3 linked regions of the Yarrowia lipolytica genome follow. The protein of the gene in region 3 purifies or fractionates together with the protein of the main gene of each other region. This does not show direct contact. Links are inferred from orthologs where the notes say so. Each region holds a gene or a part of one and is shown on either strand. Other genes may lie near its edges.

Evidence for each region. The genes of interacting proteins can lie anywhere in the genome.
Region 1: the proteins of YALI1_F37508g (region 3) and YALI1_F06670g purify together in Saccharomyces cerevisiae (affinity purification with mass spectrometry; 8 studies listed by BioGRID). This does not show direct contact. The link is inferred for Yarrowia lipolytica from reciprocal best matches to the Saccharomyces cerevisiae genes RSC9 and RSC8.
Region 2: the proteins of YALI1_F37508g (region 3) and YALI1_C01789g purify together in Saccharomyces cerevisiae (affinity purification with mass spectrometry; 7 studies listed by BioGRID, with this or other methods). This does not show direct contact. The link is inferred for Yarrowia lipolytica from reciprocal best matches to the Saccharomyces cerevisiae genes RSC9 and STH1.

Annotation. Positions count from the first base shown.
Region 1 is NC_090775.1:662,534-672,220, reverse strand, and holds YALI1_F06670g (uncharacterized protein), read left to right. Parts: upstream 1-5,146; coding exon 5,147-6,865; downstream 6,866-9,687. Other genes in the region: YALI1_F06708g (uncharacterized protein), read right to left, coding at 1-1,339; YALI1_F06628g (uncharacterized protein), read left to right, coding at 9,421-9,687.
Region 2 is NC_090772.1:172,523-184,458, forward strand, and holds YALI1_C01789g (uncharacterized protein), read right to left. Parts: upstream 6,829-11,936; coding exon 6,703-6,828; intron 6,405-6,702; coding exon 2,823-6,404; downstream 1-2,822. Other genes in the region: YALI1_C01800g (uncharacterized protein), read left to right, coding at 7,515-8,195; YALI1_C01810g (uncharacterized protein), read left to right, coding at 8,502-8,618, 8,827-9,216; YALI1_C01826g (uncharacterized protein), read right to left, coding at 9,345-10,082; YALI1_C01843g (uncharacterized protein), read right to left, coding at 11,340-11,807. UniProt on the Saccharomyces cerevisiae protein: Catalytic component of the chromatin structure-remodeling complex (RSC), which is involved in transcription regulation and nucleosome positioning. RSC is responsible for the transfer of a histone octamer from a nucleosome core particle to naked DNA.
Region 3 is NC_090775.1:3,746,198-3,755,737, reverse strand, and holds YALI1_F37508g (uncharacterized protein), read right to left. Parts: upstream 4,873-9,540; coding exon 3,058-4,872; downstream 1-3,057. Other genes in the region: YALI1_F37551g (uncharacterized protein), read right to left, coding at 316-515, 567-606; YALI1_F37540g (uncharacterized protein), read left to right, coding at 1,677-1,976; YALI1_F37528g (uncharacterized protein), read right to left, coding at 2,573-2,866; YALI1_F37498g (uncharacterized protein), read right to left, coding at 5,137-5,901; YALI1_F37481g (uncharacterized protein), read right to left, coding at 6,768-7,127, 7,367-7,564; YALI1_F37463g (uncharacterized protein), read left to right, coding at 9,374-9,540.

The DNA.
Region 1 (9,687 bases), about 3.1 Mb from region 3:
GGGCCTTGGTGTTGATTGTCCGTGCATGACGTCGCAGGCGGTGCTCCAGAGCCTCCTGAAGAGGAGCCATCTGGATGTAAATCAAGTACTCGCGTTTGTCGGGCAGATTCGAATAGACTTCCGACTTGAGCCGTCGCAGCAAAAACGGCTTCAGAATCGAATGAAGAGTCTCCACCAACTCCGCCGATCGATTCTCGCCGCCAAACCCGTCGCCAGACCCGTTTTCTTTCTCGTCAAACCACGATTGGAACATACTGAGGTCGGAAAACACGTCGGGAAGCAGAAAGTTGAGAAGAGACCAAAGCTCCGTCAAATTGTTCTGCAGAGGAGTGCCGGTCAAAAGCAGACGATTCGACGTATCCAGAAGCTTCAGTTTCTTCAGAAGCAAACTGTTGACGTTCTTGATGCGATGGCCCTCGTCCACAATGAGATACTTCCACGTCATCATCTGCAGACGTCGGGTCTCCATCACAACCGTCTCGTAAGTGGTGATGACTACCGGGAAGGTCTCCACAAACTCGCCGTCTTTCCCACCCCTTTTTTTCAGACCCCTCATCTCATAGTCCACTCGCACACCCTTCCAAAGTGCCGCCCGCTCCTTTTTGTCGCCATAAAACTTGACAACGGGAATACTCGGTGCAAACTTACGAAACTCATTTTCCCAGTTGTTGAGCGTGCTCAGAGGAACCACGACCAGATAGGGCCCGCCAACCTGCTTCTCTATCAAGAAAGAAAGGAATGCAATGGTCTGAAGGGTCTTGCCCAATCCCATTTCGTCGGCCAGAATGCCATTGAGCCCGTTCTCGTACAACGACGCCATCCACTCGATTCCATGGATCTGGTAGTCGTACATGGACGCGCCGGTGATGATTCGCGGCTGGCCGATTTTCTTGAAGTTTTTGGATTTCTTGGACTTGTCCATTTCCTGAACCTCAGTTTTGGACAGAACCGCCTTGCGCCGGCTGGCTCGCGTCTTGCCCCTGGTGGCATTCTTTTTCTCCTCGAGCTTTTCGAGATTCTTTTGCTTCTCGCGCTCACGCGCCTCGCGGCGATCTTTGCGGTCTCGTGACGCTTCTTGTGCCTTTTCCTCCTCTTGTCGGGCGAGCTCCCGGGCTTCGCGCTCTTTCTGCAGCCGGTCTTGGAGGACCGAAGAGTAGACTTTAGACTGTTCCAGGAGATGCGAGATTCGGTTGAACCGGTCGGACTCGGAGAGCGAGGAAATGTCCACTGGGTTAGTGCTGTACTGAAGTGAGGCCGAAGGTCGAACGTAGCAACATGTGAATGCCGTACATGAAGTTGCTGTCCTGAATCGGTCGGATATAAAGGTCAAGGTCCTCATGACCCATCAAGGTGGAACAGGTGGACAAGCAACAGCCTGTAAACTCTGTCAGGGACTCGTCAGGGACTTGGTAAGACAGCTGTGGACTGTGACTACGATCAACTGGTTCTCTAGTCACTTGTGTCGCTGAAGAACTCCACGAGCCACCCAGACGTCGGTTATGGGCAGTATGTCTAGTCATCTCATTATGGGGATGAGTCGAGGAGCAGATGATCTCCTGACCAAACCTAGACCAATCTAGTCGCTGCAAAGTCCGTCGGCAGTAGTTAAACTAGTCAGACACCAGTCAGTCATAGTCCAATACTCAGATCGGCACCAGAATTCCACCACTGTCTGGGCACAGTTGCTACTGAGTAGTTTTCAGGAATGAACTTGGCCTTGATCCTCAAGGAAGAAATTGTTTTTGACAGTAGAGCCGGAAAGGCCTTGGCTATGCTCATTGCGGAGACTATAATCGGTCTCGCTAAGCGGCAAGGTCGTCTGCAATAGTTTCAGCCCAGTCTCAAAAAGTCATTCCATCGACCGTACGACAACAGTACAAAAGCAGCACACACCAGTACAATGGTCCTCTGAAGTTGTCCAGAAGCAGCTCGAGTTTCGAACCAGTTACTGAACTGTTCTGCTGCGGCCAGGGCCGTTCAAACAGTCAGTTTCAAGACCCTGTTTGAAACCGCGTCCGACGATCGCCCCCTTTGGAGGAATGTCGATCAGAGAGTCGTCGTCCGTCGCCGCTGTCGGTACTGCTGTCGGTACTGCTGTCGCCACTGTCATCACTGTCACTGTGTCATCATCAACCTCCTCAATCTCTTATCCCCCTACTCACTGTTATCAAATCGTTCACTGTCGCCTTTTTTCCTTTTTCCGTACTGTCTAAGATGCCGACGGCGCAGACGATGCTGGAGATGTCGTTATACCGCAAATGCTGACTGCGCAAGAAGCTGACGACCGGTGCTCGGTGCTCTATCGTGTGGTGTAACACGAAAATCTCAACTCTGTGACAAGGTAAAGTTTCCACGTGTGGCTACAGTGCCAAGATGTTGATATGAAGACTGCCAGAACAAACGACAACCAACACAACCCGGAATCGGGCGGATCCAGACGTATATATATTGTGGGTCTGTGTTTGTGTCACTTGCCGCATTGAGCGAAAAACGCCAACCACGTATTAAAGTGGGATTAAGTGGTATTAAAGTGGTATTAAAACTGTATTAAAACTGTATTAAAAGTAGTATTAAAAGGCATAAAAAAAGGCATGGAAAAAGACACCATAAATGCTCTTTACACAAACTAATTATCTACCTTTTTTTTTTCTTTTTTTTGGGAGGGTCATTTGATCGATATATTTTAACCCCCAACCCGATCTCCTATCAAATATAAATACCCGTCGATTCCCCGTTTTACTTTCTTTTCTTTCGTTTTTCTTTTTTTTTTTTTTTTTGCCCCCATTCATCTCTCCAGCTAATTACCACCCCCAAACCGCGACGCGTTCGAACCCACCTAATCAACGCGCCAAAAGATACTCTATTGAAAACAAGGAGAAGAAACCCGCTGCTGATCTGCTCACATTTTCCAACCACGCTCCTCGGACTTCACACGGGAAGCCGGCTGATCCCTCCTCTCAGCTCACGTGACGGAAAATAAAGTTTCTCAATCCAACCATATCACGTGGACGAAATTGGATGAGTTACCCGGCCGAACCACATTAACCCCCCAACCTGACCCGCGGAAATCCCGACTCGGCCAGAAATGGCTAGTCACGTGATCAGAACATATGGCTGGCGATCGGCTCGATGCGGGGTTCAGGATTCGGTATCTCTATTGGTACAGTAACCAGCCATTCACCCACCATGGAAATGAAAAGGTTCGGTTCAGGTTATGACGTGGTTGAGAGGGATACCAAAGGGGGCACACGTCCAAACTCGATCTCCGAACTCGAAATCTTCAATCGTACATAGGTTCTTATTCCTTTGTGTTGAAGGTCTGGGGAGAGTTTGGGTCACGTGATATCGTTCGTCATGTGTAGATGAACCGGTGTCGTTGAGCTGGGTTGAGCTGGTGTGACTTTTTTCTCCTATTACCCCGATTTTCTTCCGATTTCGATTCTGAAACGTTTTTAGTTGCAAGTGGCCATCCTGAACCCATTTTGCGTGTTTCCTTTCGTGATCTCGTTTTCGGCGTTCTGTCTGAGGGACCTCAGGTTTGACAAGACTATGGAAAGGTCAAGTTGGATGGATGAGACCAGCAACAGTCGAGTGTTTGTACAGAATGTTGAGTGCCATTCAGCACAACCTGTATCCGGTTCACGATATCCATCTTGTGTCGCTTTGCAGGCAGTGCCCAAGTCGGGTCAGGTCATGGTTAATCACTGGTTTTCAGGTCATTGGTCGCAAGTCTCAATCCACTGTTCTCATTGGTTCGACCAGCTGAAGAACTGAGGACATGACTGGATAATACGTGGTCCATGCCTGTGTGTGGATGCCATGGTACATTCGTATCAGCTTCATCACCAGGCATTGTGGCTCTATTCTGCAAACGAAACGAACAAGTGCTCAAATACATGCAGGTGGACTCTGTTGTCCATTCGTATTCTTGCTGTTCATCAACGAAACATATCTTTCTTCTTCGGTTGACGCGGTTTCAACCTCTTCCAGCCATTCTATCAGACTACCATTGGGTGATACACTCGCTCTGGATTACTGGCCATAGATGTCTTCTTGTCGAGAGCAACTTGCGTCGAGAGCTATACATGCTTACAAGACACCTTTCATCACTCTGAGGCCCAAGCACTCTCGGTCTCCTGGCAAGATATCGTCTTCGGACGTGGATCTCGGTGCGAAGATGAGCGACAAGCATACATTTGGCTCAAAACTGGCTCAAAACTGGCTTGTAACTAACTCGGTTGCCCACGCAGCTGTGTTAGCTCTGTGCGGAAGTTACACCGATCATTTGAGGAGGACAAGTTGATGGTTTCCAACCCATAGGGACCGTGTCTATACTGTGCTGTATTCAGTTGCTCTAAGTACTCTCATGCTTGAATAGACCGAGTGACGTTTCCAAAGAGACGGTTTTAGACGGTTTTAGACGGCCTCAGACATGCACGAGGCGCCAGAGTCTCATTTCCACCCTCATGATGCGGTTTCACACAGTCTTTTCAACAATCACCCTGCTAGCAGCAACCCATTCTCTCTTCAAGGGGCTATTTCCAGACCAGCAAATCGTCGCCTTTTTGACCGAGTCTCCTCGTTGACGGACCTGCTCTGGAAACAACCCCTTCCCTTCCTTCTGCCGGCTCTCCTGAGCCCGAGTTTTCTTAGCCAGCTCCATAACGCTTGCCTGTCGCTGGTAGACGGATGATTCATAGTACAGTATTAATCAATGCATTCTTCAATCAGAGTGAGTAGTATGGAGAACGTCGCCCGAGAAGTTGCATTAGGGACATCAGAAGGGACATATCTGCCTGAAGACACATACCCTCACGTCAATCATGGTCACGCCAGTGCTCTCTAGTCGATTCGGAAGAAAAAGAGGAAAAAACACTGCAGCTTGGATCGCTCCTTGTATCGCTCAATTGAGTGACTGAAACCGTTCATCGAAAGGTCCAAGCAAGTGGCTATAGTCATAATCTGACTCCATTACGTACTCTCACGTGATCTTATCGTCAATAAATCACAATGATTTATCCCGGAATCGAACCCACAACCTCACCCACATCTCACCCTTCACTCCCGGGTAAAACCTAGTTGACACCTTCCTCCCACACCGTAGATTGGTGATATCACCTACAGCACGTTTCCAGCACAGTACAAAATGAGCGACAAGAGCGTAGAAGCCGGAGCGGACGCGGCCATGACCGACGTGAACGGCGATGGGTCGATTGGCGCCCAGACCGCCAAGATTGAGGCCAACGACGCCGATCTGAAGCCCGACAGCAGTGAGGTTGGAGGCGCGCACAACGACACGGCTCAAACAGCGACCAAGTCCGACAAGAAAGACGACACAAAGCCCAGCGACAAGGAGGAGTCCGTGGAGGGCGGCGGGGACGACGCGGGAGATGCGATTTCGGCCGAAGAGGCGAAGCTCGAGGAAAAGGCTCGGGCGTATCTGGCGGAACAAACACAACGGGTGGTGATTCCGTCGTTTGCCACGTGGTTCGACCGCAACGGCATCCACGACATTGAACGCAAGTCGCTGCCGGAGTTTTTCTCGGGCGTGTCGCGCACAAAGTCGCCGGCCATCTACACGCAGTACCGCAATTTCATGGTCGACACGTTCCGTCTGAACCCCGTCGAATACCTGACCTTCACCGCCTGCCGACGCAACCTCGCCGGCGACGTCGGCACCCTGCTGCGGGTCCACTCGTTTCTGGAACAGTGGGGCCTGATCAACTACCAGGTGGACCCCGACACCCGGCCGTCTCTGATGGGCCCCCAGTTTACGGGCCACTTTAAGGTGATGGTCGATGGCCCCCGGGGACTCCAGCCTTTTGAACCTCCGGCAAAGAGCCTGCTCTCCGAGGGCCAGGAGGACCCCGAAAAGGGAACCGACGGCGACTCCACCTACGTTGCGACCTCGACTGAGCTTGACGACTCCACTCCCCCCTCAATCAACATGGAGATTCGACGAAACATCTACTCGTCGGCCGCCGACGCCGCGTCGCTGCAGGACGAAAATACAAAGTCGCAGAACGTGCTCGCGTCCAAGGCGTACCACTGCCAGACCACCGGCGGTGACGTATCGGTGGTGCGGTACCACAACCTGCGGTCCAAGCAGGCGGTGGCGCAACTCGCGTTCGAACAGGGCCTGTTCCCGGCCACCCAGCAGGCGTCTGACTTTGTGCGCATCAAAAACTCGACGGCCCAGGGCCCCTGGACCGACGAGGAAACCCTCTTGCTTCTGGAAGGCGTGGAGATGTTTGAGGACGACTGGGACAGCATAAGCGACCATGTCGGCACCCGTCAGCGTGACGCCTGCGTCATCAAGTTCATCCAGATGCCCATTGAAGACGCATACCTGGTGAAGCGAGAAAAGGGCGTCAAGCGGGCCCATTCCGACTCCAACAAGTCCACGGTGCTGGCATCCGCCATCAAAAAGGTTCTCAAGGAAGGAGACGGAGAGCTAATGAGCAAGCGGGCGGAGGAGCTAGCTGGCCAGGCCGTCTCCGACGCCTCCACGCTCGTTTCGTCGCTGGCCGAAACCCAGATAGCCAAAATCGAGCTGAAAATGTCCCGGTTCGACCAGCTGGAGGAAACGGTGCGGCTGGAGCGCCAAGAGATTGAAAAGATGCGGCAGCAGCTGTACCTGGACCGTTTGTCGTTGAAGAAGCAGGCCGACAGTGTGTTGGCCAAGCTCAAGGAGGCGACCCAGCTTGGGGGCGACGAGGCGGTGGCGGTGGCAGCAGAGGCGGCTCGAATCGCCGCTCGCAACCCCAAGGTGAGCGTCGTTGAGGAGCGCGATGAGGGCGAGGTGCGAGAGAAGAAGCCGGTGTCATTGGGAGGACCTGAGTTGTTCAAGTTCTGGAGTGCCTAGACGGGCATTTCCTTAGGGGCTTGTCCAGAAGGCTTGTCCGGAAGAGTCTTGACGAGAGTGATCTTGTCGGGACGGTCCTCGTCGCATTTTCGTCTCGACACGACTTGGAATTGACAGCCTGCTCGACATACCCACAACCACCCTAACCCAAAGACGGAGATGTATGTATTTGTAATTGTATTGCTTAGTATGGATATAGATTGGTAACCACAACAGCATGGCCGGTTGTCGTGATCTCTTTGTCCCATTAAATCATCACCAACGTGGAGTGGTTTGGATGGACTTTGGACTACCTAAATTGACAATTCGGGATAATGCTACTTGTATGAGGATATGGAGTGTGTCATTGAAACTTGCGAGGCTCCAGCTTTCGATTGGTGCTGCTTTTATTGAAATCTGACCAATATTGAGAATTCATGATTTTCTAACGAGATACTTGAAAAAGCAGCAGTTTGAAAAGATCCAGAAGTAGTCGGTTTTTTACATACAAAAGCCCAGGAGTAGCTGTTTAGTTTTCTGCGGATTACTAAGTAATTAGTCATCACAACTCCGCTGTACTGGGTCCCTGGCTGGACCTGGCAACGCCCCAATGTACACTACCGAATACGACTACCGAATACGACTACCGAATACGCTTCGCAAAGACGAAAAACGCACATCCAGATGCCTACAAGTAGTCGGATCAGAAGTAGGAGCTACAAGGAATCATTCGCATCAGGGTGAAACCATATTGCTGCTTCATATCGATGAGACCAGCCGGTTTCATGATTGCCACTGAAACGGTTTCCTAACGGAAATAAATTTACAAACATCGTCATATGAGGTCCTTGTCTCAATTCTACTCGAAGTCATATTCCAATCCAACTGGTTCAGTTTTGATCCGATCGAAATGAAACAGGTAGAGTCAATTCACCAAGGACCCGATTCTCCACTGCAATTTCTACAATACAATATGTTTATGATCTGTGCTTTTTATCCATTCAACGTTGACGTAATCTAGTCACAATTGTGTATAATGTAAATGCTTCGAGACCCGTCACAAATTCTGAAAAAATACATTGACAGTTCTTCGATTGTCTCAGATACCAGGTATCTTCTGGTACTACAAACGTGGCAACTGGGCTCCCAAACGTAGCTCTGTGGTCTGAGGCATTCGGTTCAGTCAGACTTTTGAATGTCTCAATGTTCTCCAGCAATCCTATCAGCCCAGGTGAAGAAACTCCCATTCGTTTTGACGACTGGGGTAAAATACAAGCGAATATGTGGGGGCATCACGTGATTCCGTTTCAGCGTAATTCAAGGCATTTTTCTAAACATGTCTTTGGAGTAAGGACTATGTTAAAATATCTCTTTTTCTAGAAATACCGCGGAGAAATTGAGACCACTGTTGGGCTCTCCTCGTCTCGGGCTTTCGAACCATGTATATTTATCTTCCCTTTTCGCCTATATTCGCCAACTTGACTTCCTCCTGTCTTGGCCTTCTGCAAGAAGAGAGAGAGAGACTGCCGCGGAAGACGCCAAAACGGCTCAAATAAATTGTCACTTTGAGCGTCTTTAAATCAATTAATGTTTCGACAATGTGGAGAAATGAGAGGTGAATTGTAGAGATGTAAAATGGATCTAAAGCGAGCGACCGATTGACGGTTGATTTTTGCAAAGGTAGCATAAGGTCAAGTGTTCAACACATGGTCGAAATACCCCCCGCTAATCCGCTTCCTCGTCGAGTACTCGACAGTCCCAATCGATCCAACACACCATGTTTACTCACGTGACAAATTTCCAGCTTGTTCTGAAATACCCCGGTTCAATCATCCCAAACATATTGTCAGACCACCTCGACTTGGCTCGACATGCTGCCCCGTCTCCTATTCTGATCACGTGACTACCTTACGCGTCGTCGTCACCTCTTTTCTTCACGTGACTTGGCTGCTGCTGCAGTTGCCGATCTGTTGATCGGAATATGGAGCAATGGTGATGGAGGTGAGAAAGGAGGCCTTGTTGTTGAATGTGGATCCTAGTCAGAGGGAGGAAACGCCTTATCACGTGACTTCCAGAAACAATCGGGAAGGGAAGGTCTTATCACGTGACCACCTTTAGTTTGGGTCACGTGACCGGGGGGCTGCTCCTTCCTTTACACCTTTCGGCGCCGGTTCGGGTCGCTTGTTTCGGGTCGCTCGCTTAATAAGCTTCTTGTGCATAAACTCAATTTACTTAAGACGTGTCGAACGCAACGGCCCTTGTAATCGGTCGCGTTATCAATCTTGTCTTCACGCGAACGACTTTAGAGCGACACCAAAAACCACCGCGGGTCTTTTTCCAGAGGCCTTTTTATCGACAGTTTCATCGCCGAGTTCCCACGACGACATTTTTCTCCTGATTCGAGTGATATTCTCGCCTTGAGTTCGTCGAGATCATTTTCCCCCCCTGTCCCGGTTCGAAATATCGCCACAAGTCGACGAATACCGCTCCGATCGGCAAACCTACCCGCTCAATCGATTCTCCGGCGTCCAATTAACCGGAATTGATCTTTTTTTTTTTTCGTCTAAAGTCGCCTAATGAGAGTTTCAACCCTTTCAACCCTTTCAGGTCTTCTCCTGGCACTGCCGGGTGTCCTGGGACACGCTCCAAAGGCACCCAGCGCGGCCGAAATGAGCTACTCGGACTCGGACCTGTTTCTGGGCTCCGGATTCAACCAAGAGGTGGTCGACATCAAGTTGGCCGATTGCCCCGTGGTGCAATACATGAATCAACAACACGACGCCGATCACGCCGACGACACCGAGTCGTTGATCCACCGGCTGTTTGAAATTCTCTTCCCGTTT
Region 2 (11,936 bases), on a different chromosome or scaffold from region 3:
ATTGGCTCTCGTTTGTTGATTATTACCATGCCTGCCCAGTCGCCAACCTGCTATGGCCTCGACCCCCACACTAAATGCATCATTAATTACCAGATACACGGGTAATTGCATACGCCGCTACACTTGTCCTTGTCCTGTCTCACAAGTGTGCTCCAAAGGCTCTCCTCCCACCCACTCAACCCAACATACACCGTGCTCGGCTATCTATCGCCAATCAGCCTTGCAATATTTTTCTTATCCAGCCCCTCCATGTAATGCAATGCCGTCATATTACGTGGCGGACGTCGCCAGCAGTGCGCAACAATGGCCGATTATTAATTTTCTGCCGTCGTGAGCAGCCCGTTTGTCTGCTCGCAAACCGTGCCTTTTTCGGCATGCCGGTAAACTAAGAACGGTGACTGCCGTTGGTTCCCCTGCATCCGAGCACAAGCACGTAATTAAACCGAACCTCCGGCAGCGCCTGGTGTATGCACAGTCCGCTGTACACAATGTACGCACTGGTACGTGGTATATCGAGCAATTGGACGTGGGCGTGCAATACGCGTGTCCAACTACAACACGCTTTTTTATATTGGCCTTTAGCCTATATTGTTTTGTAAATGTACTGTATTTCGACCGGTATTTTGACGGGCTGGTTTAAGGTCTGTACCAAGTCCGGTAGACCGTTTTTTCGTCTGGATCTAAGACATGGCTTAAAATACGGCTTAAATTAAAGTGAGTGGAAAAGCCGTGTCGACGAACAAGCTAGTGATGGCGGTACAGTAATTAGTGTCGAAAATACACGGCCAGGCAGCAACCCCTCACCTCGACTCGGGCTCTGTTGACCACCGCAAATAATAAAATACAGCGACAATACGTACGGTACTGTACCAAAACTCTCAAATAATACTGGCACTGTAGACCACGAGCCAAGAGACACGACGTACAAGTATGTACCGGCACCGACAAAGGCCCAACGCTGCTGCTGTGTGCTTTTTCGGGTGCTGTGCAGCGAGGTTAGGATATGAAATGCAACAAGGGGGACCTAAATGAACACCTCTCAAAGGGTCAGATATTAGTCCGATTTTGACACGGGAACCTCGACTCTAGACCGTCGACCCCTGAATGACCTCGCCCCATGCCTTTTTAGCGGGTTGCCAACCCCAGCACGCCTCTTTTTTGACATCTGCGCGCTCCAACTGGCTGGCTTGGCAAAATGGCAAAACTGCACTATTCCCGATATAATAAAAATTCCGATATACGCATAGCCCGTACAGATCCATTGTCTATGTGCTTCAGAGCACATTTGTTTTCGACCCAAGACGCCGGGGCACATGCGCAGCTACTGTAGTCTACTCTTGCCAAAAATGTGTCTCCTCCCGCAGACATAATAAAAGTGTGCATTCTCGGTTCCAGGTCCAGAAAGGTCTTTTTTGGGAGCTACAAGACGCTGTATTTGGGCCTCGATTCTGTCACTCCAAGTTGCCTTCGCCAAGTACTCCCATTTCAGACCCATTGTTTCATGTCACCAAATCCTGTCAAGAATGTACTGTATTATTTCCGACGCGTACCTCAGTATTGGACGTGTCTAGACGAGTGTATCTCATCTGGAGTTATCGTATCGCGCGCTTCTCGTGACTAGGGTCAGGTACAGTACATCTCCAACAAGGACGAGACAGGACATGAAACAGACAAGTCTGGTGTTGCATTTGTACACAATGTGAGCTATATGAAAATGGATCGGAATTGTACTTTTGCAATAAAAGTACTTTGTACGGCGATGGCACATATTAGCGGCAGAAACTGAAACACCATATATGTCTGCTAAAAAAAACCACATATATCAGTCTCGAGACTGCAAGAACGAGCACATATCCTTTGGCGGATATGAGAGGGCACGATAGATCCAGCTCTGACGAGCTAATTGAGGTTCATTGGAGTAAAATGCGTGTGCCAATGGAATACGCACAAGTACAAGTGTGTACCAGTACGATAGCTGTTAGAATATGCTAAGTTTTCTGTCCAGATATTAGATTGACATGTTTTTTTATGTCGCACACAGCATAAATGTTCCAAATTCCAAGTAAACTCCAACAACGTCCCTAACTGTGAATCCACTCATTTCTAAGCAGAAACTCGAGTATCTTGAAACATTAATATTGAAACAACACTTCTGTGTGTATCGGTTAACCAAATTGTGTCATGTCCATTTATGCCTCTTTTTTCAGCAATATTCTCAGAACATCAATTATAAAGTATGATTGATATATATAGTTAACGGCTTACAACTCATTTCAGGACCCTACGTTCCGATAGTAGCACACACCAGAAGAGTGTGTGCTTGCTCATTCACCAGAAAGAGATTCTAGATCGGCAGATACACTGCTTACAGGATGGACATCATTGTCTACGACCAAGCTGGTTCCTCTCATGTCTATGTGAGAAATTGACCAGGTTGGTCCGGGGTATCACCTTTAACAAGACTCTCTCAACAATATTCTGACCTGAGTGCGAGAGAAATAGAAAAGATTGAAAAGAATATTCCATAGATTATGTCACATGACAAAACAAGTACTGTAGTAAAACTTGCAAAAAAGGGTGTGTTCTAATCTCTAATTGTCTAGACTAGCTGTGAGGCGCTTTTTCTGAGCGCCCTTGGCAAGAACATACAATGAGACGAATTTCGATAGATACACTGCGAGTGCTTGGTTTCGTTGAGTAGAAGGTAAAGGCGATATTACTACAAGTAGACGTACGGATAGACAGCTTCGCTCCAGCTGTGTAATAAACAAACACATCATATTATACAGCTTAGTGGGACCTTTTTGCCCATTATATATCTTCTAACCCCGGGCAATGTCCAAAAGACGGTCGGCATCCGTAACAACCGGAGAGTTCTCCTCGTTGTAGGTTCGAGCATTCTGGTTCATGAGCTCGAAATCAGCCACAAAATCGTACCGGTTCTGGTACACATTCTGCTTCACCTTCTTCTGGATCACGTCAAGCGCAATCGGATTCTTGATGAGCTTGAAGTAGTCGGGATACAGCTTTTTGGAGGGAATGGACCGGAACAGGTCACACACATGCCGCAGGCCCGCAGACTCATCTTCAGGATCCCAGGGCTCCGTCAGCGCAAAACACTCGTTGAGAGCCAGCTGGCATGACTCGTTGAGCTCCTCCCGGTCAGCCACAGACAAGGTTTCCCGGACCTTGGGGATCTTGTTCTTGTTCTTCTTCTTGGGAGGAGGAGACGCCTCTTCGTCGACAAACTGGTCGTCTCCATCGGCATCGTCAACGATGATATCATCGGCGTCCAGACCGTCATCCAGATCAGTGGGGGCTCGGGACCGTCGGCTTCGGCGTCGCTTCTTGATGGCAGCGTCCAGATCCTCGTCATTGTCCACAATGTTGAGCCACTGCTCCTCTGTGAGGCCGTCGTCGTAGTACACTTCCTTTCGCTCTCGAGCTCCTCGGCCGTACTTGTCCGAGTCGGCCATGTCGTCCTCTCGGAAATGCTCAGACACATCCTGAGTGAACTGGTCCGGCAACTCGGACTCGGAAAGCAGCCGATCGGGTCGTCCTGCGCCCTTGCCATAATCGCTTGTGGCGTTCCGCTCGGCGTCCATCTGGGCGTAGAAAGCCCGCTCCTCCTCGTTTCGAGCCAGCAGGTCGTTGAGCTCCTCATCGTCAAGGTCCTCGTCCTCTGCCTCTCGAGAGCCACGCTTAGACTCCTCCTGCTCCAGCAGCCCTCGCAGGAACGCCTCCTGCTCCTCGGCCGTCGACTTGTTATCGAACTTTCCGGCCTGAATGACCTTTCCGTCGATTTCAAGCTTTGCGTGAGCTCGCTGGAGAATAACCTCCTCAACGGAATCCTCTGTGATCAGACGCAGAATTCGCACCTCCTTGGTTTGACCAATTCGATGTGCTCGATCCTGTGCCTGCAGATCCTGATGAGGGTTCCAATCAGTGTCGTAGATGATAACTGTGTCGGCTGTCTGCAGGTTCAGACCTAGACCACCAGCTCGAGTGGACAGCAGAAAACAGAAATAGGGCGAATCGGGAGCGTTGAAGAGCTTCAGCATCTCGGATCGATCGTCGGCCTTGGTGTTACCATCTAGTCGCAGGTACTGCAAGCCACGGAGCCGCAAATAGTCCTCCATAATGTCCATAATCTGGGTCATTTGGAAGAACATGAGCACCCTATGGTCCCTAGCCTTGAACTTGGGCAGAATTCGGTCCAAAAGCTCAAACTTACCTGCAGAACGCCACAGTAGGTCGTTGTTGCCATGTGATGGGTTCAGAAGAGTCTCGACTTCCTCGTATACATAAGGATGGTTACAAATCTTACGCAGTTGCATAATCTTGTTGTTGAGACCCTTGACTCCGCTCTTGTTGACACCAGCCGCGCCAGAATCGTCACCAACGTACAAAGCGTTGTACTTGAGCATCTGCTGGTACATTTTGAGCTGAAGAGCGCTCATCTTGCACTTGATGACGGTCTCCACCTTGTCGGGGAGATCCTTCTCAACGTCCTTCTTAAGACGTCGCAGCAGGAAGGGACGCAGCACCTTATGAAGACGTCGGATGACCAGCAGCGTCTCTTCTTCCGTGAGCTCCATCTTGTCCTGTGATCCGCTGTTAGCAAACGGCGTGTTGAACCACTCGTCGAACGTCTTAACCGAGTTGAAAATCTTGGGTAGCACAAAGTTGAGCAGCGCCCACAGTTCGGGCAGGTTGTTCTGCAGAGGGGTACCTGTAAGAATGAGTCGGTATCGAGAGTAGTAGAACTGCGTGAGCGTCTGGGCAAGCTTGGATTGGGTGTTTTTCATTCGATGACCTTCGTCAATGATCATATGCACCCACCGGATTCGGCCCAGAAGCGCCTTGTCCTTGATGATGTACTCGTAGGTGGTGAGCAGCACCTGGAAGTCTCCTGCTCGTACCTGGTTGGACAACTCCTTACGCTGGTTGGGCGAACCCTTGAACACAATCTTCTTAACGCTGGGAGCCCACTTTTCAAACTCATTGGTCCAGTTAGTGAGTGTCGAGAGAGGGACAATGACCAGGTAAGGCCGGGTCTGTCTCTTGACTTCAATAAGGTAGGTAATGAGGGAAATGGACTGGATAGTTTTTCCAAGGCCCATTTCGTCGGCCAAGATACCATTCAGAGAGTTGTTATACAGAGACACCATCCACTGCAGACCCTTGAGCTGGTACTCCTTGAGCTGACCCCCAACCAAGATAGAAGGCTGCTTGGAGACTGTCTCCTTGACTCGATGAGCAATATGGTAGTAGTCGATCTTCTCGCGGTCCTCTTCTCCCTCTCCTCCTTCTTCCTCCGCAGCAGGAATGGGCATTTGAGTTCCGGCTTCTCCTTGCTGAGCACGAACGGCAGATGACAGAGAGTCCAAGAACGAATTGGTCTGTCGCAGCAAGTGGGTGATACGTGTATCCTTGGTCTGGTCCAGGAGCTTGAGGTAGGCCTCCTCGTCGTTGGACTTGAGAGCTTGCAGACGCTGCTTGGCAGTTCGCTCGACTCGTCGACTCTCTTCTCGCTCAACGTACGAGTGGAACTGCTGGATGCCCTTGGCCACGGCGTACTGCTTGGTTCGTCGACGATGGGCCTCTTCTCTGATTCGGTCCGACTGGTGGCACACCGAGTTGACGTACGCCATGATTTCCTCCCGCTGCTTGCGTTCACGCTCCATGCGCTGCTGTCGCTCTAGCTGCTCCGTCAGTCGCATCTCGTGCGCGGTCTGCACCTTGGCTCGTCGGTTGAGAGCCCGGTTGATGACCGAGTCGGTCACCTGGGACGTCTGGGCCTTGCAGAAGACTAGATGTTGCCGCAGACTTTTTTGCTTGGTTAGCAGCCGCAGGGCCTTGAGCTCGGCCACAGCTCGTACTTTGAGCGCATCAGTGCCTTCGGCTTTGCCGAGATCATCCCGGGAAGCATCCAACACTCCGAGGTTTGATGGCAGAGACTCGAGCTCCAGAATCCGCTGCGAGATTCGGTTCGTGATGATGAACTCGTGTCGTCCACCGACTCCCCGCCCGTTGTCCACAAACCCGCCTCGGGGGGGCACTCCGCTGTCCTTGAGACGTCGCTGGTAAGGGGTGAGTGACTTTTCAAGTGCTGCGTCAGCCTCCTCTTCGGTGATGTCACTTTCGATGCCTACCGTCTCCATTAGGCGCTCCTGCACGTCGGTGGGCATGTCGAGACCTCGGCTCAGGTATCTGAACGCGTTGACCTGGGTTCGGAGCAGGTCGAGGTCGATCTTGTTGTGGGCGGCTTTTCGGGCGCTGTTGACCTCTGCCAGACGCTTGTTGTACAGCTGCTGCTCCTGGCCCATGGTGTGCAGCCGGGTGACGATGCCCTCGAGTTCGGGTGTCACCGGGTGGTCGGATTGATTAAGAGCATTGAATCGCTGTGTTAGAATGAGAATAGATGGCGGTCAAGCAATAGACTTGCACACTGTGCTGTGTTGAGACACGTGTGTCGTCACGTTATGTGCAACGATACGATACGATACCAATGACCCATGACCCATGACATCGATAATGTCGTGTCGACCCGTCCAACGTCGGCTGTCGTGTCCATAACACAATCACACTCTGACAATGTCACGTGGTGTCGTCACGTCCTCGGTGTCACGTGATGGTGTTCCGTCCGTCGTGTTGGGTCTGTCTCCCCTCCTCTTGTCTTCCTCTTCCTCTGATACTCACCAAAAACAACAACTGGGCCTGCTCCACGCTCTCGGGGGTGGGGATGGAATAATAGTGGGGCTGTTTGGCGGAGCCGTTGAGAGCACCGCCATTGGGTGCTGGCGAATGCCCGTTTTCGAGATCCATCTTGCCAGTGCTGTGTGTGCCGTTGATGATTCGGTTTCGTCGAATACCGCACGGTTCTACACGCTTGATAGTTTCGCTCGACAGCAGTGGGTGAAAGTGTGTGAGGGTCGACCAAAGTCTAATCTGCTCCCACCCACGGTTTCGGACCACGTTTTACGCGGCGCGGTATGGATGTTGCCGGTTCGACTCCGCTTTGGGTGAGTATGCTTGGAAAGTTTGGCTGGAATGAAGGTGCACCAGTCAGAAGGAAGATGTCGAAATAGCGGGTTGTGGCTGGCAGACACGGCCGAAATATTTACTCAGACGGTCCGCATGGTGTTAAAATGTCCTGTTGCACTGCTTTGACTTACTTGGGGGGAGGACAGAGTAGGTCCAGTACAGTATGTACGTTAAAACAGTGCTCTTGTAGACTAATTACTGAAGGGCCTTCATCTTTCAGCTGAAGTGGAACATACAGCACCTCGTTAAGGAACGTTCATACTTTCTCGTTTGACACTACACAGGTGCCCGGGGGCCTCAATGGGGTCTAAGCCAACTTCTCAATCAGTCACGTGACGCATCCCCGTCCTATATCGCCCATACCTATGCTGCTCTGTCATGTATCCCACTGTCACATTTGCATGCATAACCAGGATCTTTATCTGCATCTAAATTGAATCTTCTTCACACAGTTCACTCCAACAACAATGCCTCGACCCCGACGAGAAATGACGCCTGACGAGGAGTACTCTCGCAAACTGTCGTACATCTTGCGACACGGCGCCACCAAGGAAAAGCTGCCCATTCGAGAAGACGGATACTTGTCTGTAGGTGTGCTGCTCAATAGAGCTGGAATCAAGGGGAAATGGAACCTGGAAGACACCAAGCGGGTTGTGCGAGATAACGACAAACAGAGATACAAGCTCATCTTTGAGCCCACAGAAAAACAGCCCAAAGAACCCACAGACCCCAACGATTGCACGGGATACTGGATCAGAGCTAACCAGGGACACACTATCAACACCAAGGTCGAGATGAAGGCTCTCAAGACCCCCGAGGACTTCCCCACTCTTGAGATCTTCCACGCCACCTCGAAACAGGTGCTTCCCATTGTACTTAAGGAAGGATTGTCCAAGATGAAACGTCAACATATCCATTTGGCTACCGATCTAGTCACCGAAGGAGGCTCTGTGGCTGGAAAGCGACTTAACAGAGAGGTGTTCATTTACATCAATGTTCCCAAGGCTCTGGAGGCCGGAATCGAATTCTTCCTGTCTGAAAATGGTGTTGTCTTGACTGAGGGTAAGGATGGAAAGATCTCTCGAGAGTTCTTCAGTAAGATTCTGGACAAGAATAACCAGCCGGTTGACTTGGAGGCGTTGGCATAGGTGCATATAGCAGCATTAAAAACATACTGTATTCGATAATATACGTTACAGTCCATGCTTGTACTTGCAATTGGTACCTTACCTCACGTTACATTGTGTTGCATCTCTTAGTAACCAATATATATGCTGCTGAGGTATTATCACGGGACCGTAGACTATGTCCCCTGTTAATTCACCTTTTAAGATATCTTCAACGTCTTTAAAACTTCTCCTCCTATCTACAGCCTACAGTATACATACTCCAGGACTGTGTCCAACTGTGGCATCCGTGCGGCTCGGAAATGCACAGAAAATATATCCTTCGACATGCATGATACAATTTCATCCATCACCAACCACACAACCGCCATGAACAGCAACATGAAAAAGGCGCCTCCTACGGCGAGCAAAACGCATCTCAGTAGTAAACTGAACAACATGAAGGTGAGTATCACGTGAGGAGAGTGTCGGACTGATCTGGAGATGATCTTGGATGACAACTGGGATGCTCAGAGCAAACAGAGCAGTTTCGACGCCACCAGGACCTGGAGAATCAAATGGGGTTGTGACTGTTGCAGGTTAACAGACGCTTTCAATTGCCAGTACTTCTTTTACACATATTCAATCCATTCTTTTCCACCCACTAACGCAGTTTATGCAAAGATCTTCTGATCAGGAAATGAAGAAGGAGGAGGAAAAGGCACAAAAAAAGATTGACGACGCATCGAAATGGACCGTCAAGGGTGTCAAGGCGCCGCGAATCCGAAAAAAGTCGCGCAAAATCGTCTCCGTGGGCTACTCGGACATTGCGCTTGCTGAAGATACCAAGGGACGGCTGTCATGGGGAGGATTCAACGATCTGGAAGACACCAAGAAGCCCAAGGAAGACACTCGGTCGGCTGCCGAGATTGAGAAGGAAGAGCACGAGTTATTACGAGCGGCCGCCAAGAACCAGGGTGTTTCTGGGTCTGGAGGAAACAAGGCCAAAAAGCGGCCCTCTGAGGGTGGAGATAACGGGGGAAAGAAGAAGATGAAGTATTAGTCTATGGTAGACGGCAACGGAATATGTAACATATAAGCATTATTATTGATTTTAGGTGTAGGTACACTTGTAGGCATAGTCGTACGGTGTCCCCATAGCTCTAACAGACCTGTTTGCAAGCGCTCTATCTACTTTTTCAAATAACCACCCTTTTCGAGGGCATCTCTGGCAGCCGCATTAATGTGTTTAAATCGGTCAGGACCAAGTTTGATGCCTCCATACCATCGAGCGACCACCACAACCACATTCTCAACCCCCGTGAGAGACAACAAATGCAGTAATCTGCCTCCTGCAGCATCCTCTCCATCGTCATCACAGTCCTGCGCATAGATACCCTTTTCTGCGTCCCTCAGAATGCGGTAAGCTGTGATATTGTGGGTGGCACGGGCAATCTTCTTGTCCTCTTTCAGATGGTTGATCTTGGCCTCAGCCTCGGCTGCCGAATGGACTGTGAATGCATGAGCCACGAATATGGACTTTCGATCCACCACCGGATCCGACAAGGTCCAGCCCGCAAAAATGGCAGCCTTGGCTTCTGCGCTTGTCTCGTCGTGATCCTGATGTGTTTCTGGCTCCTCGGCTTCCTCAGAGATCTCCTCAGTCACTTCCTGGACCTCTTGGATCAGTGAGAATAAGACAACCTCGCCCTCCATATAGACCTGAGCCAAAATGTCTTCCACCAGCCCCTTGTCCACGTGCTCAGTCGACTGCACCTCTGGAAGGATGTCTGGGTAGGCTGAAGGGAAAGATAGCTGCACCAGCGCTCTTCGATCTGGAATCGAAAGGGTGTATCTGCGAGGCCCAATCTCCTTGAGAGAGTCTGGGAAAATAGCGTCGATGGTCTCCACCTCTTCTTCTAACGACATGGCGCTTGTTGTAGATGTGTTTTAGATGCGTGAGTGGCTGCTTTGTGTCGAATTTGCGCTTTTAGCACCGATCTTTGCACTAATCATGAGAGTGGTATCAGTGGTCTCACCACTTGCAGCACACTTGCACACTGCATGATCTCAAGGTTAGGGTGAAAGAGGAGCTCATTCAAGTATGGATAGAGGGATAGTACAGCCGACACTTTGATATCAATTCTACGTGGCTGTTCGATGATCCTGGGACATTTATCATGCAAGATTAATTAGACTGGTTCTATTTGGCTGAATGAATGGCGTTGAGGTACGAGAACCATTGGCAGTACAATACTTACAATTACACTTGACTTTTCAAGTAAACCAAAACTGGTACTTGGTTTGTCTTAAATTTTAATATCCTGTTACTTGCCTTCTCAAGTAAGTCTCTCTAATAATCATCTGCTGGCAAGGACGTTCGACCCTACAGCCAACCTACAAGTAGACCACCTCCACCCTGAGATCACCAAGTGGATCCTTGAATCAATGGCACGTCCACTCGAGAAGCCACACAAAGACTTCTCGAACCCACTACTCCCGCACTAAGTGTTTCAGATGCGCTTGTAAGACAGAGCGGCTCGAGTTCTAGAACCGATGGCGTTGTGGTCCTTAATTTCGAGTATCTACAGTAGCGGAAGTTATACCTTAGAGAGACGGTTAAGAGACTGTAGATGTAGAAACAAGTATTCGAGGAGTGAGTGTGTGAGATGTGACTGTAGTGGAAGTCTTGTTTGTACTACAGTACTTGTAGCTACAGTACAGACCGTCGTGTGCATTGTTCTTAACACGACGATGTACTGTAACTACTCTACTCGTACAGTATGTCTGCACTCAATTCACTATGCCGTTCTCTAAATCACTCGACAGCCATGACGGTTTGAGTCCAACCACCGCCATCTCCGCACCTGCCCAAGTCGGTCTAGTCCAGCACAGCCTCCACTAAATACATGTACAAGTGTGGTAAGCGTCTCCCTGTCATCGACAGTGCATTTGGAATTAAGCTGTTAGAGCCAAGTAGGCTAAGCGGGTCCTAGTCGAGCTGTCATGATAAACGTAGAGTTGGAGGAGTATCGTAGCTGGCTGCTTGTAACAGTTGAAGAAGAGATAAGTTCATGGACACCGATAATATAGGCATGCACGCACACCAACATTCTCTCTACCATACTTATCTTCACTCTAGAGTTGGTCATACACCGCGCTAGCAACGCTCGTAAACTCCAATTGTTAGCACCGTCTTCGCTGCTCAGCCCCGACTTTATTTCTCGACTGGACATGACAAGACTGAAGACTGGCAACAAGATTCCGCGAAACGAGCAGGAACAGTGGTCCTGGCGACACCACAAGCGCTGCTGAATCACCTCTCATACTCGTACCGTCGTTGCATGGTATCGTACAGTATGTACTGTAGTCTACTGGCACACCTTCCACGGACCCACCGTCGAGTTGGTAGACAAGTCGTCGTATGCAGAGCTTGGCAAGGCTTGGTACGAGTAGTGACCGGGGGTTACGGCACAATAAGTCTTCAAATAGTCCCCAGATGGTTTCGTATGTCTTATGTCTTATGAGCCGCCACACGCGCGCGTCATGTTCAATTCCAGAGTCCTTCTTTAACGTTGAGTTGAGGCTGTGTTGAGTCTGTCGGGCAAAAATGTGCATATATACATTTGGCACCTTTGCACGAGTCATCATCATACAAGCGAGAGTCGAACATTGGACAAAAAAGAGTATGAGTGCACAGAAAAATCAGTATGTACTGTACACACACGAGCTGGTGGGAGCTGGTGGGAGAGGGGTGAGGGAAGAGGAGTGGAAGCTGCAAGT
Region 3 (9,540 bases):
GGTGAAAAATCCAATTACGTAATATTTAACAACCAACCACCCCCTCTATCCGCTTATTCCCGGACCCTTTGATAATATTTGGCACATCCTCAAGAGCCTATGATGTTAAGCTTCATAGTTCATGGAGCAGCTTTTGAGATTGAGCAAAAGTGACAAAGACGTTAGGAGCTGCTGGAGAGAGTGTCACCAGGTGCTTCTTTCTCTTGGTAGCATATTTCGTCCTTTTTTTTTTTTTACGTTGTTATTTCCGTCATTCTTCTTCCCTGGCATTCTCAGCCACGGCCAACCGTTGCCCACTACACGCCCCAAGCCTCCTCACCACACATCCTCCTCTCCCCACAAGACGTGACTCAGAGACTGCCTGTGAGAGGCAAACGAGGGGGACTGAGTAGACAAGAAGCATGGCATGGCATAGGCGCAACGTCTGAGGAGCAGAGCCAAAGCGACAAGCCCAGGCCACACTCGGTGCACGCCGCTGCTGCAATTGCAAGCGTGGCGATGGAGGTTGGCAGGACCTGAGTATCCCTAGTGCGTGTAGTACTCATACGAGTACAGCGTAAAGGCACGGCTAGAGCATGGAGATTTATACTGATGTTCGTGGGTCATATCTTATGCTTCAGTTTCCGTATGGTAACTACAGTACGGAGAATTGTACAGCAGTGGGTCGATGTCGACGTCAGCTAATTATGGACGCTTGATTGGCTGATACAAGATTGTAAGACGCCCTTTTATTATTTTGGTTACCACACACTTGGTTTGTAGTGATCCACTCCTGTTTCTCTACGTTGTGGCAAGCTCTTAATCAGCAAACCCTGTTTACATAGGGTAACATGTGCCTGACTCGTGGACCCTGTGAGCTGTGAGTTTTGCAGTCTCGCCAGCAGACTTTGAGCCGTTCGGTCCACTTTGAAATCGGAAAAAAATCTTTTTATTTGCCGATTTTCCACGCGCGGCTATCGGTCGGCGTAATAATCACTGGCGGGAAATGTGTCACGCAAAACTTGCCATTATTTGAAGTGACTAAATGTATCGGCATGTCCAAGCATTGAGACAAGGGTCTGAAACAGGTCTTTCGGGTGCAACAAGTTGGGGTATGCCATCGTACAATATGTATTGTCGGAGAGTCATGATTCTGACTATCGCACGAGTAGGTGTACAAGCACGATACTTCTACTTGTATATATTGTACAATAAGCTTGCATCTCGAACTACCCGGTCTGCGGGAGCGTACTTCGAACATATTGCGTGACAGGTAGAGGCTGTAACCTGGAGGCGAATTGATCACAAATAGTACTTGGTCTTCTCTAGCAACTGATGTTATAAGTCAAATCACTGGTTGTTCCCCAGTATCCCATTCGTTATTTTTTGACGCCTATGCAGAATAAAAAAACTTGATCAGACACGATAAGTTTAACACTGTGGACGCAAAAACTTCACAACCTTGATTTGTCGATTCAGGCGACTGAGAAAGGAAAATCTGACGACATTTTCATAATCCTAACATCTCAGATACGCAATAAATTCCCCTGTATGCCCATAGCCCCCCAACGATCTTAATCACAGATTCCCCTTCCCCTAACCCTATTGAGGCGCCCCCCATGCACGACAAAAAAATATTGATGGCTATCCCAACATCATAACCATACAATCTACATCAACCATAGCACCATCAAAACATGCCCCAAGCAGGTCTCAAAAAGAGAGAAAAGACCAGCAAGGTCAAGAAGCCCACTGGCAAGATTGCTCCCAAGAGGGCCGCTCCCCGAAAGATTGCTCCCCGACGAAAGAGCGCTCAAAGAGACGTCGAGATTGCGAAGAAGCATCAAGCAGCTCTGACCGCCACCACGGAAAAGCTGCTGGCCTCTCGAGTGGGCCATCTGGAGATTCTCAAGGGCAACCGACGAGAAATCGAAAAGAAGAACAAGGAGGACGAGGAGAAGAAGAAGAAGAAGGCTGCCAACGCTCAACCCAAATAAAGGGCTCTCACGTCATTGTCAAGTGTGTGCCCGGTACGCGATGGGGATTCAAGTCACCAAAGGACTCTCTTCACAAACAATCATGGAGCGAACTTGGTAGAGCGTCAGCGTTGTATCACACAGTCAACGGTGCTGGTGGCGTCCAGGACCTTGATGAAGATAGATCGGTTCCAGTGATCCAGCTTGGATGTCTTGAGTGACGAGCTACACACCTTTTGTTTAACAGTTTTGCATCATCGGATATAGGTATTCTATTCTTATTTATAGTGATTGGACATGCTCTGGCACAAGTTGCTATAGTACAAGTATTACAAGTAAGTATGTGTAGAGTCTTAAGTGCCTCTCTTCAGAACACAAACCAACATATATCAGTTCATTACAAATACAATACTTGAATATATATCCATTCTCCCCAAAGGAGACACAGCATGTCCTCCAAACGAAATTTAGTTGTGTTTCTAAGCATGCGCGCTCGTAAGGTGTATCTTCTAATGTATCAACAAGATACCTTGAAGCACACACTACTGTATCATGTGCAAGGCGACACTTTCTCTCATGGCAGGTCTAGCGACGACATTATTTTTTCCCGTAGCTCCTTATTGCTCCTTCTTGGACTCCTTGGCCTCGGCCTCTTCCTTCAGCTCCTTGTCGGTCTTGAGCTTACCCTCCTTCTTGAGTTTGGCGACTTCGGAAATGAACCAGGTCAAAGTGCCCCACAAACACAGCGCAATGATGAGCAGCATCACGGTGTGGATGTTCAGAGCGTTCCAGATGAGGAAAAGCAGAGATAGGATCAACAGCACAAACGAGCCGTGGGTGGCCTTGACCAGGGTCGGAGTAGTGCCGGGGGTAAAAATGGACTCCCATAAATCCACAAAAAAGTTACCCATTGTAAAGAATGACGATTGCGAATGTAAAGGTGATGATGATGACGTCTATGTCGCTGATGCATGGTCACTCGCATAGTTAGAAAGTTAAGGGTTGGGGTTACATTACATCACACGAACTGAACATGAGCTGTCCCATGCTTCCTGGATCATACAAATACAAATACATTAATTCCTGGTTATATTGTACCCATCTATGCCTCGGGCTTCACATTCTCCAACTCGCCCAATAAGGGGAACATGTACTGGGCAATGTGTGGGTTGACAGTACCAGCATACACCACCTTGTCAACCACATGAGTCAGTGCCAGTTTGCCCAGATCGCTCTTGGCAATGTTAGTCATGACCAGAATAGCGGCCGGAGACACTCCACTCTTGTTGTCCAGTCTGTATCGTCGAGCCTGATCGTACTCGGCATATCTGGCCTCCATCTTTCGACGGTGTTCAAACTCCGCGCGCTTCTGTGCATCGATGGTAGCAGGGTCCACGGGTTCCTTTCGGGGTTGAATACCCTTGATAATGAACTTTTTGGTTCCATCGTTGAGACTGACAACCATGGCGGCACTTCGAGTGAAGGCCGCGTTGACATTTTTGATAAACTCCACGGCCGGGAGCAGTCTGTGCACGCCGGGAGCAGAGCCCTCCTTACAGTAGGGCTCAAATTGCGACTCGTACGACTTCCACAGAGAAATCTGGGTCACCTCACCTCCGCTAGTCTCCTCGTATGAAGCTCGCATCCATGCATTGGCTCGATGGGGCTCAGGCATCGTCAGAAGGTTGTTCAGAACATCCTCAGGAAGACGTGGGGCCGGCGAGTCGACCGTAGGGACATTCTTCTTTACAGGGCCCGGAGTAGCCCGTGGGGGAAGTCGGATGTAGTCAATGAACTTTTCGTGGGGAAACTCGAACCGTAACAGACGGGCCAGGTGAGTCGACAGAATCTCAGCGTTCGAATTGTTTTCTAACAGACGAGTGACAAATGCACCTCGACGAGTGATCTGATAGAGGAAATCGAGAGCAGCAATTATGAGCTCTTCGTCAGCCTCAACCAGCAGCATCTGCACAGTCTTGTCGACGATCTGATGCCATCGTCGAGCCAACAGAGTAATGATAGGGAAGGCGTCCTCCTTCGGCTCGGTCTCTGCTTCTGGGTGGGCGTGATACTCATGGACCAGCATTCGGGTGAGTGCTCGAGTGGTAGAGATTATGATAGCTCGGTCAGACGAGGTCTCCAACAGATGAGCCACAGCCTGGAGAAGAGGGTCGTCGTAAGAGGAAGGAGACACATAGAACGAGATAGACTCGCAGATGTCAACGGCATAGCTGAGCACCTCGGATGTGAGGGAGGAGGGCGAGACCTGCAAACATTTGAGCACCACCTCAAGACCCTTGTCACTAGTAGCCAGAAACTGGGCATTTTCGGGGTCCAGAGCGGCGTTTCTCAGAATGAGCATGATATCTAGCACACTTTGATGCACTCGATCATCTGCGTCCGTGTCTCCGACGTGTTCTCCGTCGGCGGACTCCTTGTGGGTCAAAAACCGGGCCTTGAGAACACGGCCCAGCAGGTCGGCGATGAGAGACTCATTTAGTCGGAATTTGAACTGGTCAGGGGCGTTGAAGGTTGCTTGGACGAGTGCTGTGAGAGCCCAGTCGACTTCCGAGTCGATACCTGATCGTAGCGAAAAGGTGATACGTGTGAGGAAATCAATGCCAAAGTGGCCGACTCCAAAAGCGTTGGCCTTGGCGATTGAGGTTGGCGTGGGCCTTTTGACAGGGAACATGGGCGGGTTGACAGTCGGAGTCATCACTGGAACAGGCAGAGGACCCGGAGGCACCGGCACAAACTCGTAGGGGTTCGATCCCTGATGCGGGACCATTCCACCGTGGTTACCCCCAGGCATACCTCCATCAACGTAAGGAGAGCCTCCTTGGTATCCCGAGACCTGACCAGGGGATCCTGCTAGCGACGAACGCGTCGAGCGACGGGGCATGTTATCGTTGTACATTGGTGATGTCTGAACCGTCGTCTGAACTTGACGATAATTAGAGTGTGGTGATGTGATTTGGGTGTGTCGAATTATTGTGCGTGTTGGGAGGATGCATGGTTGATGACTCAGCTAGACAGTACAAGTTTATTGAGGTTAGGGTATAGTCTGGGGTACTAGGGTTTTAGTTAGATTTTAGTTGGGTTGCTGAGGCGGATGATACGCGCGAGCCGATCCAACACTGGATCATAAACATTCATTATATATATAATTAAACGGATTACTTCAGTTGGCGCAAATTCCCTTGTCAACACTGAGGATTGAGCCACTAACCTGAGGATTGGTAGCGAAATACATGGCAGCATTGGCAATGCTCTCTACTGACACATCTCCAGTGTCTCCAAACTCCTGGAGAGGAGTCTTGAAAGACAGTTCATGAGCCTTGGTCATTTCAGTTCTGACGTATCCTGGACAAATAGCGTTGGATCTGATAGCCATTCTCCCTCCCTCCACACACATGCTCTTGGTGAACATGATAAGAGCAGTCTTTGTAGCTGCGTAGATAGACAAACCAGGAGAGACGGCTCTAAGTCCGAGAATGGAAGAAATGTTAATGATACAGCCATTTCCTTCCGCCTTTCTATCTGAAGCAGCTCTTTCAGGGTATCTTTTCTGCCAGGCTTCCATGGCGAACTTGGTCATGAACATGGTTCCCACTAGATTGACGTTGACAACATTTTGTATATCTTTAGTTGATGTGGTTGAGAGTAGACCGGTGAGAGAAATGCCGGCACAGTTGACAAGAACATCTACTTCAGAGAAGTCTACTCCAGCAGGAGGTTGTTCCGAGGTGACGTTGTGGACAATGCCTTCATGATGCTTCTCTCCCTCAAGTCGTTCAGGTAAAGCGAACAGAGCAGTATCAATTTCTTCTTTCTTGTGAGACAGGATGATAACTCGAGCTCCTGCGCTGGCAAAGGCCTTTGAAATTCTGTATCCAATACCTCCGGATCCTCCAGTGATCAGAGCGGTGGTGTTTCTGAGAGACATGGTATGACGGGATGAAATGTGAAGAGAAGAGAAAAGACTGAAGACAAACCGGATTAAATACCCGTAACTAGCATTATCCGAGCGTTGCCAAGACTTTCTGGCCAATAATCTCGTCTATACCCTCTCAATATATCTGCCCACTATCATACATGTCTCATGCATCGGAGATTCAACGGGTCACAAACCGAGGCATGAAGAGGAATGGGGGAGGAGGGTGGGATAATAAGAAAATGGTTTAAGAACAGTTATGAGTGTCATGAATGCGTCCGTATTGTAAATGTCTTTTCTCCTTCGGTGTAGAACGTGTGATCATTGGTTCAGGTTGAAAATAATGAAACTCTTAAAAGTATAAACAGTAGAAGTGAGCAAGTTGAACCTGTAGGGTGTGGGGGTCGGGTAGTAGTCTCCGTTGTTTGATTCCAATACCAATAGAGCTCTACCAAGCTCAATTAGAATTGTATCATTCCGAATTACTCACTCATAATTTGCCGCTGGGGACTTCTCATAGACCGCAACCCTTTTCATTAGCTGATGTCTCAGAGAAGGGAGTTTTTAGCCGCATCAGAGAGTTATAGGAATGAACTGAGAGTGCTTGTACAGTATGTACATATTGTAATATGATTTTTACATTGGAACTTCTAATCACAGGCAGAATTCAAGCTTCGATGTTCTGAAAAAGCAGCTGCTTGAGTCTCAAGTCTGTACCTGTAGATCTGTCTCAGAATCATAGCCTACAGTACATACTCATATAAGTCCAGTTGATCCCCCGCGACCATCTGCTGGCAGTTTCAGGCCCAGTTTCTCTTTAGCCTACACTCTTAGCAGTAAGAGCAGTTACTTCTCACATTTAGACTATGTACAATAAATTAAAGATCTTCATCAGTGGAAGGAGGAGCCTTGTTATCGGATCTCATGTAGACATCGATGGCTGCAGAAAAGGCGGCGAAACCGGCACAGCCAACAAGAGCGGCCTGGGGGCCAGCCTTGACGGCCAGGCCTCCACCAGTTAGACATCCGGCAGCCACACCATTCCAAATATCGTTTTTGGCTCGCAGAGACTCGATACAACACTCGGTTCCAGAGAAGACACCTCCAATGAAACCGAAGTTCTTGGCACTGCTCCATGCTCGCTTACCCATGTCGGTGAACTGGATTTTCATCTGCTGCTTGAAGGGCAGATCGGACATTGTCTGCACACCCATTCCAACGGGGGCATCATAAGCCATCTTAGTTAGTATTCGTTGAAAGTAGCAGAGATTTACTTGAGATAGAGACTCGATGGACTCTATAACACGCTTGGAGTGTACTCAGAGCGTCTCAAGGGCATATATGAAACACCAAAGCACTCAACATGTGTGATCCAGTCTCCACATTTGATAGTCTACTTGACTTCAAACTGACCCCAAATCCTGACCGATCATGTTACCACTCAAAATCCACCTTATCCCCACACGTTGATACTCACAGAAGCCATGAAAAGACCGAAAACACCACCGAGTCCGAAACCGGTGACACCAGCCATGACGGACTTTCCGGGACACGACTGCATGGTGCCCATGATGAGGTTGGCCGAGTACATTCCCTGCTGCTCGGGAGTCATATCCCAAAAAGAGCCTTGGGGAGGAGTGGGAGCTCCGCCGCCGGGGAATCCAAAAGCTGACATTTTTATCTGTGGTGGATGTGTAGCACTGTCGAGGCTTTTGAATTTTTCACCAGCGAGTCTGAGAGTTTATATTTTCGTTAAGGTTCCAGATTAGTCACCCAGTGGTGGTAGTGAAGATGTCATATATAAAAGCATTCCGAATCTCGAAGTGGATCAGAAAATTGCTGTTTTGAATGGAAGGACATCGTAGTATGAGATTAATTGCTTTTTATCTCCATTTCTGGTTAATAATGAGTGGGTTTTTTTGTTGAGAAACACGCTTCGGTTACTAAGTAAACAGTTGATAATCTGAACAAAAGATCATCAGTGATGAAACCTTCAGAATTGAGCCCAGATGAAAACACAGAACCGTCAATTAATTCCGAATCATTTTTCTGCTGAATCATAGCTACAAAAGCACCGGGTTTTATCACCTACGTACATGCGAATTGAATTCACATAAATCAGACACAGCGGTTCGAAACTTGCCCCAACCACATTTAAAGCAATTATAGCAATCGAAGTCCTCTAGCTACGGGCAGTGCGTACTATAGCAGGCATGGAGCCGTACACCAACCATAGTTGATAATTTATTGGAGTGTGAGCATATTCTTTAGAAGGAGACATAAAATATCCTCAATGATCCATTCACTGGCCCACATCTGGTACTGTACAAGTGAGCAACATCTTCCTATTCTTCGACTCCATTATATATGCACTACTTGAAGGCTATGGCACTTTGGGTAAGCGGAGTTAGTACGTCCAAAAGCAAGCATCCAAAGAATCACTGCGGAGTATATGAGGGGCCTGAATCGTATTGTAGAAAATAAGTGTGCTTGGACAATGTAGAAATCGTGTCAGTCACTCTATCCTTGTATCCTTGCCACGTACTGTGTACCCCTCATAATATCACATGCTCCTCAACCTTCCTTTTGTACGTACGGTTCCCAATCAGTCCACCAGATGTTGGGTTGGTTCTCCGTTTGTGGGGTCAGCCCTGGACAAACTGCGCAAACCACGGACTCGTTTCACATGCAGTTGGTGGCAAACGAGTTGTAAGCCAGCGGTGGATGGCGTCATGGACTGCATACATCTGCAGCGTAGATGTACAGAGAAGCAGTTTGCGGGGAGGGCTTAACAGCATGTATTGCACCCCAGAGACTGGATAAATCAATTGAGGTCTTTCCTTCATCCAAGCTAGCGCCGCAATTACGTGTTGCTGGGTCCTTCGTCACGTATGTAAAACGAAGTCATTGACACATAGTTAAACTCCACACCTAAACTCAATGTAGCTTGATAGTAGCAAGTGTGGTTGAGGTGAGGCAAGCCACATGTGGGAGGCTGATAAAAGTGATGAATGAGTGGGAATTGGCCCTTGAAACTTGAAAAATCAATTTTAAACGTGCAATTGAACTGATATTTCGATTTGGGCGCCTCTAGTCCGTCAGGAACATCGACTTTGAACCACTCCATTCACCTCATCTAGCCCGCATGCACGTGCACTGTTGGAGGCACCAAGAAAAGTCTCTTGAGAAGGACCCTCCAGCCGCAATGTCATGACCATAGCTCCACCGTGAAGTAGATATATCAATTGCACCGAAAGCGACTCGTCGACAGTTTGAGAAGGTTCAGTATTGGCAAAAAAAGCACTCCATTGCTTTCACTTGTCCGCTCTCTCAGAATCATCCACTACAACCTAGCACCAACTTAATACGAAACGCACTTTGGGTTGCTACTGCGTGCAGAAACGAGCCGTTATATTTAAGGCGGCAGGTGCCACTGAGGTTTCACTCTTTCCCGTACAGTAACTAACTGATTGATTATTTCACAATGGCGGTAGCTCCTCGAATTTTGCTCTCCGCTATCACCCTATTCATCGGCATCTTGCTGGTGTCCTCTCCTAACAGAAGCAGTCACAACCAGGTCAGCACCTGGTCTTCTCAGGATCTCCGATCGCTGCTGGAAGACAATGGCGTGACCGTGCCCGAAAAGAGCAA